Diceros bicornis minor: one gene and its partners. The main gene of each other region encodes a partner of the protein of the gene in region 2 in a complex. Links are inferred from orthologs where the notes say so. Each region holds a gene or a part of one and is shown on either strand. Other genes may lie near its edges. The genes, in order: KL, FGFR1 and FRS2.

What was found.
Region 1: the proteins of FGFR1 (region 2) and KL are in contact, whole or in part, in a cryo-EM structure (PDB 7YSH), measured with the Homo sapiens proteins. The link is inferred for Diceros bicornis minor from reciprocal best matches to the Homo sapiens genes FGFR1 and KL. Residues at the interface, in NP_075598.2 of Homo sapiens: Asn272, Gln288, Leu290, His292, Ile293, Asn296, Gly301, Pro302, Leu305, Pro306, Tyr307, Val308, Gln309, Ile310, Leu311, Lys312, Glu322, Leu326, His327, Leu328, Arg329, Asn330, Glu334, Asp335, Thr340, Leu342, Leu349, His351; in NP_004786.2 of Homo sapiens: Ser539, Gln540, Phe541, Asp543, Leu544, Asn545, Val546, Tyr547, Leu548, Trp549, Asp550, Val551, Lys555, Arg556, Leu557, Val560, Val563, Thr565, Lys566, Arg568, Tyr571, Val573, Ala576, Glu625, Arg628.
Region 3: the proteins of FGFR1 (region 2) and FRS2 are in contact, whole or in part, in an NMR structure (PDB 1XR0), measured with the Homo sapiens proteins. The link is inferred for Diceros bicornis minor from reciprocal best matches to the Homo sapiens genes FGFR1 and FRS2. Residues at the interface, in NP_075598.2 of Homo sapiens: His409, Ser410, Gln411, Met412, Ala413, Val414, His415, Lys416, Leu417, Ala418, Lys419, Ser420, Ile421, Pro422, Leu423, Arg424, Arg425, Gln426, Val427, Thr428, Val429, Ser430; in NP_001036020.1 of Homo sapiens: Asn25, Val26, Asp27, Asp28, Leu33, Leu47, Thr49, Arg50, Asp53, Ser54, Val55, Trp57, Leu60, Cys61, Leu62, Arg63, Arg64, Tyr65, Gly66, Tyr67, Asp68, Ser69, Leu71, Ser73, Phe74, Gln81, Thr82, Ile86, Phe87, Ala88.

Annotation. Positions count from the first base shown.
Region 1 is NC_080748.1:15,778,934-15,782,675, reverse strand, and holds the start of KL (klotho), read right to left. Parts: upstream 2,727-3,742; coding exon 1,908-2,726; intron 1-1,907. UniProt on the Homo sapiens protein: May have weak glycosidase activity towards glucuronylated steroids. However, it lacks essential active site Glu residues at positions 239 and 872, suggesting it may be inactive as a glycosidase in vivo.
Region 2 is NC_080768.1:35,047,769-35,051,510, reverse strand, and holds the start of FGFR1 (fibroblast growth factor receptor 1), read left to right. Parts: upstream 1-1,064; 5' UTR 1,065-1,685; intron 1,686-3,742. UniProt on the Homo sapiens protein: Tyrosine-protein kinase that acts as a cell-surface receptor for fibroblast growth factors and plays an essential role in the regulation of embryonic development, cell proliferation, differentiation and migration.
Region 3 is NC_080756.1:1,868,749-1,872,490, forward strand, and holds the start of FRS2 (fibroblast growth factor receptor substrate 2), read right to left. Parts: upstream 2,585-3,742; 5' UTR 2,505-2,584; intron 2,238-2,504; exon of another isoform or gene 1,845-2,237; intron 1-1,844. UniProt on the Homo sapiens protein: Adapter protein that links activated FGR and NGF receptors to downstream signaling pathways.

The DNA of each region.
Region 1 (3,742 bases), on a different chromosome or scaffold from region 2:
ATCAGCAAAACCAAGGATCCACTTGTTACTAATTTCTTATGAATACAAAGTCCACTGCATTTCTGGGAAAGATGGTTAGTGTTTGGCAAGTTTTTTCTGTAAGGATACAGAAATATAACTGAAAAGTTAATCAAAGGGCCGAGAGTGGGCACACGAATAAAAAGCATGTTGGCTATTTAAAATAGCAGAGTACCAGAAAGCTCCTCAGTCCCAACTCCTTATCGTATAAATGAAATGATCACATAAGTCACTATAATAACAACTGACGACTTCCGTATACATACAGAGTTTATTACATGCACTCTAAAAAGAGAATTTGCATGACTTAAATCTAAAGTAGTGATTTTGCAGAAATGGTCTCTTAGGTCCTCCAGCTGGTCCACAAATCTCTTATTTGTTTCTGGTATGAACTGAAATTTGCTTATGTTTTCTTCAAAAGAGGAGCCAATTCTTCCCATAGTTTTTCTATCATCAACGATAAACAGGTGGTGTTTGGAGTCTTGATTCTTTAAAAGGACTGACAGACTGAAAAAGTTTATTACCATTGCTCTAAAGTATCTTAATGAAAAGATACATATCAAAAGGAAATCACTAAAATCACATTTATTTTTTCATCAAAGTCCAACATTCTTTTATGATCTGTAGCAAACAGTTTTTGTGGAGCTAACATACAATCTAATTTAGCCATTATTACAACATTACCGGCAGCTCAGAGCACTAAGTCAGCTCAACAGCCCAGCACTGTTCTGCCTCAGTTACCTATGGCTTCAATTATAAGTGTGCAGAAGTGGTCTTTGTCTTGAATTTGTTCAAAATATGTAATTTAATTCTAAATTTAAAAATAGGTCTTCCAGTAGGCCCACAAATCACCAAAATACAGTACCAGAAGTTACCCATTTAAAGTTTCATGCAAATGTCTGCACATACACATAAAATATTCTCTCATGATACAAAACTCTATGAAGTGTACCAACACTGACATTATTATAAATGATCCCCCAAATCAATGGGACCTAATCTTGAACACTAAGTAAAGGAGAAAAAGGAGGAAGAATTATTTGAGAGACAACTTTATCATGGCATGTCAGTACTTCCTGCTGTCAAAATGTATTAAGCCTTTTACACAAGGGTGTTAAAATCAATTTTGTCAGCTAATAATCTCATCCCCGAGGAATCCTTTCAATTGGAGAGAGCATCCTGGAAATACAGTTGTTGTAAGACACAATCTACATTACCCTGTAGCTGTTTCTGTATTTTTATGGCTAGCTTTGCTTAAGAATGTGTAAGGAGTCTTCAGACTCCTGATGATTCAGTCAAGTTGGTGGATGCAGCAGTCCCCTGCCACAGAAGGAACTCCCAAAGACAGTTTAAACTCTCCCAGAAGATGGGATTTTGACACCTTCGCATTTGCTGCAGTGTGAACTTGTGCCACAAGCAACACAGATCTTACAGGATTTACATTGAACTCATGACATCACCACAAACTCTAGCAGAGTAATGCTATTTGTGCGGCTTCCGAACAAACTCGTGTCTTTCATCCCTCCTCATCTCCCTGTAGCTACTACTCGTAAATTCTCCCCGCCTCACCTCTAGGAATTCCCCTAGACCCAGAGAAAGGAGCTCCCTCCTCTCACTGAAGAAACTGATTCTAATTTCTTTTTGACGAATGTGCGCCAAAGGGCACTCACTCGCGCGCCCAACGCGGGATCTCCCTCCCATTCCCAACTCCACGCCTTCCAAGGGAAGCCCAAGCTGTTCATTTCCCCTCGGGGGGCAATTCTAGGTGACCTCACAAACTTGGTCAAATGGAGCCTTGTCTGAGCTGGAGGCTCAGGCACCCCTCTTGCCCCTGGCGTCTCCAGGGGCCCTCTCCCCGCGTGACCCTCCGCCTGGCCCCTCGAACTCACCAGGAGGAGGTTGTGCGCCACCAGGTACCCGAGCTGCGGGCTGCCCCGGACGCCAGGGGCCAGGCGCCCTGTGGCATAGCCGTGCCAGGCCACCACGTAGGGGTTGTCGATGGTGATCCAATACTTGACCTGGCCGCCGAAGTGGCGGAAACAGAGCTCGGCGTAATCTCTGAAGTGGTCGGCCAGGGCGCGGTTGGCCCAGCCGCCGTAGGCGTCCTGCAGGCGCTGGGGCAGGTCCCAGTGGTACAGGGTGACCACGGGCTGCACGCCCAGCTCCCGCAGCCGCTCCAGCAAGCGCCGGTAGTAGCGCAGCCCCTCGCGGTTTGGGGCGCCCGCGCTGCCATTGGGGAGCACTCGCGCCCACGAGATGGAGAAGCGGTAGTGAGTGACCCCGAGTTCACGCAACCCCTCCGTGTCTCGGAAGACGTTGTTGTAGCCGTCGCTGGCCACGTCCCCGGTGGCAGGTGGGGACGGCGAGGGGGCGCCCGTCGGTAGGCCGGCTACCAGGGGACCGCCTAAGGGCGCCGGGGGTTGGTGGGTGAACGTGTCCCAGATGGACGCGCCCTTGCCGTGCTGCTGCCAGCCGCCCTCCGTCTGGTAGGCGGCGCTGCCCACGGCCCAGAGGAAGCCGTCGGGGAAGGTGTCGTGGATGAGGCCCGCGGCCTCGGGGGCCGGAGGGCGCGCGAAGCGGGCCCAGGTCTGCTCCCCGTCGCCGGGCTCGGCGCGCAGGCGGCGGCCGCCCAGGGCCAGCAGCAGGAGCAGCGGCAGCGGCAGGGGCGGCGGCGGCCGCGGGCGGCGCGGCGGGGCGCGGGCGGGCATGCTGCGCGGGAGCCGGGCGCTGGGGCGCCGCGCTGCGCCCCTTTATGCCCGCGCCCCGCCGCGCCGCCCGCCCCCCGCCGGCGCGCCCACCCCCGCTTCCCCGGCGGGCCCTGCTGACAATAATTACCTGCGAGCCGGCGCCTCCCCTACCCTGGAATCGGGGGGGACGGGCTGGGGGAGGGCGGGGGCGCAAAGGGCGATGGGGTGTCCCGGGAGGGGGCGCGACAGCGGGCAAGGTGCAGCAGGCGCCACTCCCGGACGTCGGAGAAAAGGCACCTGTTCCTCGCTGCGCCCGGGAGCCGCTGAGGATGGCTCGGCGACGCAAGTTCTCTCCGCGCCGCCTTCTCTCTCCCATCCGCGCTCCTTCCTGGAAGAAGCCGCGGAGCCGGTGCGCGTCGAGGAGGGAAGGCGGCCAACCAACTTGCCCCGAGTTGGGCGCATCTTTGCCTGCCCTCGCGGAGTCCGCCGGCCGGGAAGCACCTGCTTCCTCTTTTCTCCCACTCGGAGGCCGAGAAAAGCTTTAGATCGACATTGCTAGAGCCGATTAGGAGTTGGCTGAAAGCGTATTGGGAGGGCACGATGAGGAGAGCTAGGTCGGAACTTGGAATGTTGTGAGAGGACTCGTGGCGGACTTTCCCTTAAGGTCTTTGGGTCAGATGCTCGCGTGGGGAGCCACCCCCCTCGCGCAGGGCTGGATGGCCCGTCCTCCAGGCTCCAATCTAGGAAGCCTTGGAGTAAGACAGAGGAGATGTATGGGTTGTGTTGAAACTTTGCTGTACTGTCCTTCTTACTCTTATCTTTTAACCATTTCAAACCAGTACTTGTTCTTGAATTAGATCTTGCAGAATTACTTGGTGAACTTCAAATGACAGTTGTTGATTGTTCTTCTAAAAACAAACAAAAAACAAAACACCAAGGTTTCGACTTTGAGTGACTGTCATTCACATTTATTATCCTTTTGCATCTGTTTTATGAATAATCACGTTTTAGCTTTCAGCAAGTAACTTATCTGGGCA
Region 2 (3,742 bases):
AAACAAGTCTTGATTTTTTCAGACACATGACGTCCAAAATCAAACAGTTCATAAGTAGGGGACCAGAATGGAGGTATCTTTCATACCTAGTGTGGCATCCTCCTCACCCTACCAGTGGTCCCCATCTTGGCACCACGGAGCCATAAAAAAAAGTACAGACTCTTTGCTCCTTCCTGGGACAGCCTGATTCCTCAGGTCTGAGCAGGTCCAAGAATATGTATTTTTCAGAAGTTCCTCAGAGGACTCATGTACATTTGGATTAGGGAACCACTTAGATTATACCATCCTATGGAAGGACCCAGGGGAAAGGGCATTTTAGCCACTTTTCCTGGGGTTCCATAGAGTGCTGGAGAGTGCCCTGGGTGGGAACGGATTAATTTCCAAACTAGCAACACCCTCCAGCTCCCTCCACTCATTCTTTACTTTCGAAACATTTACTGCAGGCTGGAGACTTCTGGAGGCCAAGAAGTGCGCTGTAGAATTTACCGGACCCAGCTCCCCGTGGACCCCCAAACCAAAACTATGTAGCTGGGGAACGTGAGATGGAAGGAGAGGGTCTGAGGAGGGGTTCGACCTTCTCCTGAATAAAAATAGCTTGTATTTCTTGAGTAACTATGTGCCAAGCCCTCACTTAATCCTCAACCCTATGCGGCAAGTATTATTATCGCCCTTTTACAGATGAGAAAACTGAGATGTCGAGTGAGAAAAGCATTTCTCCAAGACACACAGTCAGACTTCCAAAGCCCGTGCTACCACGGACAACCTTCGGGCTACAAGTCTCCTAACCTCACCCCCTAACCCGTTAATGTGTCCACGGCTTGAAATTCGGGCGCCCTCCTGGCGGTGCTCAGATGGAGGGGCACGCGCGCCAGAGGAGACCAGCGTGCAGGGAAGGAGGGGCAGAGTTCCAGGCAGCTCCGCCGGCTCCCCCCTTCCCGGGGGCCGCGGCTCGGGAACTACAAGGCCCAGCAGGCTGCTGCAGGGGGAGGAGGAGGAGGTGGGACCAGCGCGGGGTGGGAGTGAGAGAGCGAGCCCTTGCGCCTCGCCGGCGCACAGCGCTCGGAGCGCTCCTGCGGGCACTGGTGCGGCGGGCTCGGCAGCAGGCGGCAGCGAGCAGGAGCCCGAACTCTGGTCCAGCCGCCGCGCGCGGAGGAGCCCGGGCTGTGCCCGGAGCTGGGCGGCAACGTCCGGAGAGGACCGAGACTCTGCTTAGCGCATTGCGGCGACCTCGCCTTCCCCGGCCGCGAGCGCGCGCCGCAGCTGGAAAAGCAGCGGAGACCGAGGACTTTTCGCTGGTCCGAGGGGCGCCCCGCAGGGCGCACCGTACCAGGGCTGCAGTCGGGCACGCCGCGGCGCCGGGGCGATGGAGCCCGGTCTGCAAGAAGCTTGAGGCGCCGCCGCCCGGTTCTGGAAAGGGGGGCCACAGGGTCTGGAGACCCCGGGCGGCGGACGGGAGCCCTCCCCCCGCCCCGCCTCCGGGGCACCAGCTTCGGCTCCATTGTTCCCGCCCGAGCTGGAGGCGCCGAGCACCGAGCGCCACCGGGAGTCGAGCGCCGGCCGCCGGGCTCTTGCGGCCCCGCCAGGACCCGAGCGGAGCCCGGGGGTGGCGGGCCGGAGCCGGGGACGCGGGCGCCCGCACAAGCCACGGCGGACTCTCCAGAGGCGGAACCGCAGCGCCGAGTGAGGTAAGAGCCGCGGCGCCCCCAGATCCGGGGCGGGCTTGGCGTCCCGAGCGGCCCCCGGCGCCGGAGCCTCCCGGCTGCGCGCTCTCCCCACCGAAGCCCAGTCGGATCCGGCGCCTCCCTCTACTCCTTACCCGCCCCCCTCCAACTCCCGACTCCCCCCCAGCGCTCTGCGCCCCCCTTTTGTCTCCCCTCCCTTCCCTCCGCTCGCGTCGCCTCTGCGCCCCCTCCCCGCGCTCGTCCCGCCGCTCCTCCTGCCGCCCAACTTTTCCGCCAACTCGCGCTGAGGAGCTGGCGAGGCGGCGGCGGCGGCTCCGCGGTGAGTCCGGGGAGGGACAGGGCCGGGGCGAAGGCGGCAGCCGCCCTCAGTGTCCTCGGACTGGGGAGGAGGGCGGGAGTGGGCAGCGAGAGGGGGAGTGTGTGTGTGTGTGCGCGTGTGCGTGTGTGTGTGTGTTGCATTCCACTCCGTCTCTTTTTTGAATTGGGGACTCACCCCAATTCAGCAGGTAGCTTTGGGTGGAACCCTAAAAATTCAGGGTGTTTCTAAGTCCTTTTCCACCTCCGGGAAAGTCTGGGGTCGGGGTTTGGCGGGGGGGCGCATGATGAGGCAAGGAACTGGAGGAGTAGGTTAGCTTCTCTCCGATTAGGTTTTAAGGAGGTGTCGTCACCAAATGGCTGCATCTGCTTTAGCGGAGAGCGAGAAAGGAATTCCCTTTTCCAGAGGGGGTTATCTTCTATTTAGTCCATCTCAGAAAGGGTCGGAAGTTTGGGGAAGGGGAGGGCGCCCAGCGGGTGATGTTAAGCCCCATTATGGGGTCGGGGGGAGGGGAATGTTCAGTTCCAATCTGGTTCTAGGAGGTGGGGGAAGGGATGAGGGTTTTGTCCGGTGCGGTTCACTCGGCAGCGATGCATGTTGCTTCTCTGGCCCAGACCCTTCTGCCCCCTGCTCCCCTCTCGCATTATGTTTGGGGTTGGGAGAGAGGGGCTAGAACCCTCATCTGCAGAGGAATTTATGGACGTTATAGATGGAGTTCATTTAACACATGTCCTATGAAGGCAGCCAGCCGCCTTTGGGGAGGGGGTGTGAGACCAGCTTCTCTTTTCTGGGCCCGGAAGCTGTTCGTCCATTTAAAAGTTTCTGGGTGTCTTTCACCCCCAACACTTTTCCCCCCATTTTCCAGATGTAGCGGCCACATCTGGTTCCGTTTCTCCCCACACGGGTACACCGCAGCCACATTATTAACATCCCTCTTCCTCCCTTCTCTCTCCCCCAGATTAAAACTGAGATTCTTCGACTGGTCCTTACCACCTTCCTCTGTAAAATTTCTTAAGACTTGGAGGCTTTGGGATTGAGGGAGAAAAGAAGGTTACCCTGGATCTCGGGTTATTTAGGATCAGATGGTGGTGGTGCTTTCTAGCTTGTGCAGAAAAGAGGCATCGTGGGCAGGATCGTAGGAGATAGGGCCAAGGTCTTAGGGGGTGTCACTTGCGAAAGGTTCATCTGCCAGAGGTGGCCTCTTTGGCCATGGGTCTGACCCACAACTGTCCCTGACGGAAGTTTCTGGAACCAAAGCGTTGCTTTTTCGTCCCTTCAGTTACAGCTGGAGCAGCGGGAGCGTCGGACTCTGTCCGGAGCCCGCCGTCCGGTCTCCGGCCGCCCGGCGGTGGCGTCACGCGTCCCTTTTCCACCCTCTCTGGAGCGAGCCCGTGCGCGGCGGCCGAGGGTGTGTATGGGGGCGGGGGCTGTTGCGTGCTCCTTTGCGTTTTAAGGAGCTATTTGGGCTGCAGTCCCCGGAAATTGAAGTGGGCCAGTTTGCCACTTAAATAACGGCTCCAGGTTTGAAAGCAGGGGTGGGATTGTTGAGGAGGTTTTGGTAAAATCCTTTAAGGTAGGAAAGCACCTTATGGCCCAAAGTGGCGGCAGGGTGGGGCGAGTTGGTCTCTCTCACCCTCTCCTTTCCAGTCTCTTTCAAATTGAAAACACCGCTCTGGTTTCCTCCTTTGGGCGGTAGTTTTGGAGGCTGTAATGAAATCGCACTTTCTCTAGACATGGTAATTAA
Region 3 (3,742 bases), on a different chromosome or scaffold from region 2:
ATGTATGCAAAGCAACTAGCATAGAGCGTAGTGCTAGGTGCTCAATAAATAATAGCTTCAGAGCCACCTTCATATGGATTACTATACCTCCACCACTTTCCATGATCACTCCAGCTAAAAATAAACCCACTTTCCTTTCCTACAACTCCAAACTTTAGGTCAAACCTTCACATATTAAGTATTTACATATATTTATGTTGTAAATTTTTATGTAAACATCTTACATCCCCTTCTAGATTTCAAATTTCTAAAGACCAAAGACTTAATCTTTGTATCCCCTAATGCCTAACAGTGCTTTTCATGAAGCACACACCACCTTCCAATTAGAAAAAAATTTTAATATGCTTAAATACAATTCACCTCTTCATGATTTCTGACACAACTTAGAAAATTACTGCCAAAACATGCTATGGCTGTATCTTTATACGCTCCTACATGGTTGCCTAACGTAGCTTGATGCCGAAGAAAGCAAATGTCCAATATCTGTTGAATTGACATGAACATAATAAAATATACAATGCCCAAGCATATCCGATTTTCCCCAAGTACCTTTTCTGTTCTTACAATTCTTGAAATGTTTTCCTTCAAAACCACTGTTACACCATACTTTCAGTAATGGATCTATAACCATATCTAACTTGACTCCTTTTCCAGATTCTCTAAATTCCAATATTCCAACCTTATGCTCTAAACAATGAAGCACTTCAAACAGCTAAGAATCTAAATTTTCTTCCTAAATCTAAAAGTTGGGCAACTAATCTTCCTCCACAACTTTTTCCAGAGACTTTAAAAATCATCCACCCTTTGCCTGCTGAAGATCAACAACCCTGAAATAAATGTTCTTTTGCATAGGCAGCTCACTGAACTTGTCACTTCAGTCTATTTTCCCTAATTCACCGTATTACCTCCCCTTCCAGTGGTGGGAGGAGAGAGAATGAGATAAGTACTCAAAAAACTACAGTATGAATCCTAATATAAGCACCAGATGAGAAGTGCAGGAACATGTCACTGGTTTCACAACGGTGATTGTGTGTACTTTATACACGCGAAAACAATGGTCACCTGCCCAGAGTCACCACCTGCAGGGACTGCATTCCCTTAGGATCCTAAAAATCACTATTTGGACCGGCCCGGAGGGGTAGCAGTTAAGTGCTCGCGCTCCGCCATTGGCGGCCTGGGGTTCGGATCCCAAGCGCGCATGGACGCACCACTTGTCAAGCCATGCTGTGGCGGTGTCCCATATAAGAAAAAAAAAAGTGGAGGAAGATGGGCACGGATGTTAGCCCAGGACCAGTCTTCCTCAGCAAAAAAAGAGGAGGATTGGCATGGATGTTAGCTCAGGGCTGATCTTCCCCACAAAAAATCACTATTAAAAGCGGAAAACTCTCATTTCTACAAACCTTTCAGGAGCAGTTTATTACCTAAAATCTGTTCACTAAAAATAACTACACGCCACTTTTTCCACTAGGAAATGTTCAATTTACCCAAGGTAAACACTTCATAAGTTAAAACAACAACAACAACATAAAACAAAACACCTCTGCCCACCTATGTGAACCTCTGCATTGCAGCAACAGCTGTAACAGTACACGGGGCCTCTTAGGGGTTACCGAGAACAATGTTTCTTTAAAAGTTAAGGAAAATGACAGATCTAACTATGAAAGTATACAAACTTCAGGGCACAGAGAGTATAATTCTCCAACAATCTACAACCCATTCGTGCAACAACCGCAGATTGAACTCATCAAACCAGCATGACCTCAGAGAGCCACAGGAATTTGGAGATTAGCAGATTACAGAACAGCATCATTCTTTTAAATCTGCAAGAAAATAAGGGAACCTACCTGAACTACTGATTTTCCTCTAGCAAGTTGTTTTCTTAAGAAGCGACTTCAACAACAGCTTGAGCGAGCTTCCCAAGGAGTAAAGACAGCAGGAGGCACGCTGGTGCCACAGCGACCCACGTATCCAGAACCGGCCCCCAGCGCAGTCCAAACCGATCCCGGGCAACCCCGAAGCGAGTATGGACGAAGAGCCTGCCGAAGATCCCGGCCTCCTCCCCGCATCGCCCCGCCCCGGGCTGAGCGGCGACCCCGGGACCCCGGCTCAGCCCCGAGCCCCCGACAGCGCGCGGCGCGCGAAAGCCGGACCTGGGCCCGGGCAGAGTCCGCTGTTCCGGCGCCCAGCCCAGGGCAACCCAGACACCAGACCCCGGAGGCGGCGCGAGGACCCGGGCGCAGAAGAGGGGTCGGAGGGACGGAGGCCCAGCCACCCACCCCGAGTCCCACAGCCACAAGGCGCCCGGAGCCCCCTCCCCGGCCCGCCCCGCCCACCCGCGGCCCGCCGCCGGCTCCTCCCGCCCCGGGTCCGCGACGACCGCGGCGGCCCGCGCCCCTTCCTGCCCGAACCCGACAGCCGAGCCCGCAGCCCGGAGGGGCAGCGGGGCCCCAGGGCGCCCGCCCGACGCGGCCCCGGCCGGCGCAGTCGGCTCCCCGGCCACTCACCGTCGGCCCGGGCGCGGAGGGCGGGCGCGCGCGGGCCCCCGGGCTCCGACCCGGCAGGAACCCCGCTCGGAGCCGATCCAGCCTCCCCCGCTGTGCCCGCAAGGCCTCTCCGGCCCGAACCTTGGAAAAGCACTTCCGGGGGCGCGGGGCAGGGAGGGTTTGGCACCGGAACTGCTCGCGGGCTGGGGCTGACAGGGCCTCCCGGGGGCGGGGCCTCTCCGCGCGGCGCCCGCGGCCCAGCCCCCGACTGCTCGCCGACACCCCCGCGGCCCCGCCCCAGGCTGCCCGGAGGCCCCGCCCCCGACTGCTCGTTGACACTCCCGCGGCCCCGCCCCCGGCTACCCCGAGTCCCCGCCCCCGACTGCCCCGCGGCCCCGCCCCCGGCTGCTCGTCAAACCCCGCGGCCCCGCCCCAGGCTGCCCCGAGTCCCCCCGCCCCCGGCTGTCCCGCGGCCCCGCCCCCGGCTGCCCGTCAACCCCGAGGCCCCGCCCCCGGCCGCGGCGGCCCCGCCCCTGCCCCTGGGCCTGTCCCATCTACCCGGCCGCCTGATTTGACAGACGAGGAAACCCAGGCTCAGAGAATTGAGGTGCGGGGCCCTGCGCGTACCCCGGCCTCCTGACTCCAGTGTCCCTCCGCTCCAGTCCACCTGCTCTAAGAATCATGAGTTACATTTACTGAGCGCTTCCTACGGGTAGGCGCTGTATAAGGAACCGTCCCAAATCCTCTGACATTGGCCTGGTCTCTACATCTTGGGAGAAGGAAACCTGTCAAAGGTACCAAGCCCAATGCCACCACAAAGGTCGGCTCCCGATTTTATTTTAACTCGTGTCGTGTGTATAAATCTCATCTACCCCTAACAAGAGTCTTAAATTTTTGAAGGGCAGGAACCAAATTATACTCCTGTATGTATTCTATCATCACTTGGAATTTCAGCAGAGGCCAAGAGCTGGGGGCTCTGGAATTTTATTGTCTGGATCCTGTATTTACATTTACTTTTTCACCCTAGGCAAGTTGCTTGACCTCTAAGCCTCAGATTCCTCATTTGTAGTATATTTGATGAATGTGTGTGTGTGTACAGGTACATATATAATCATCTGTGTATCATTGTAGGAATTCAAAATGAAAATGCATGATGAGCCTCCAGTATACCTAGTACCAACGCAGCACTGGGTAAAAGTCACCAGTTCTCATACCTCATCAACAATAGGAAACTATTTCTCCTCCAGTGGAGTCACTCT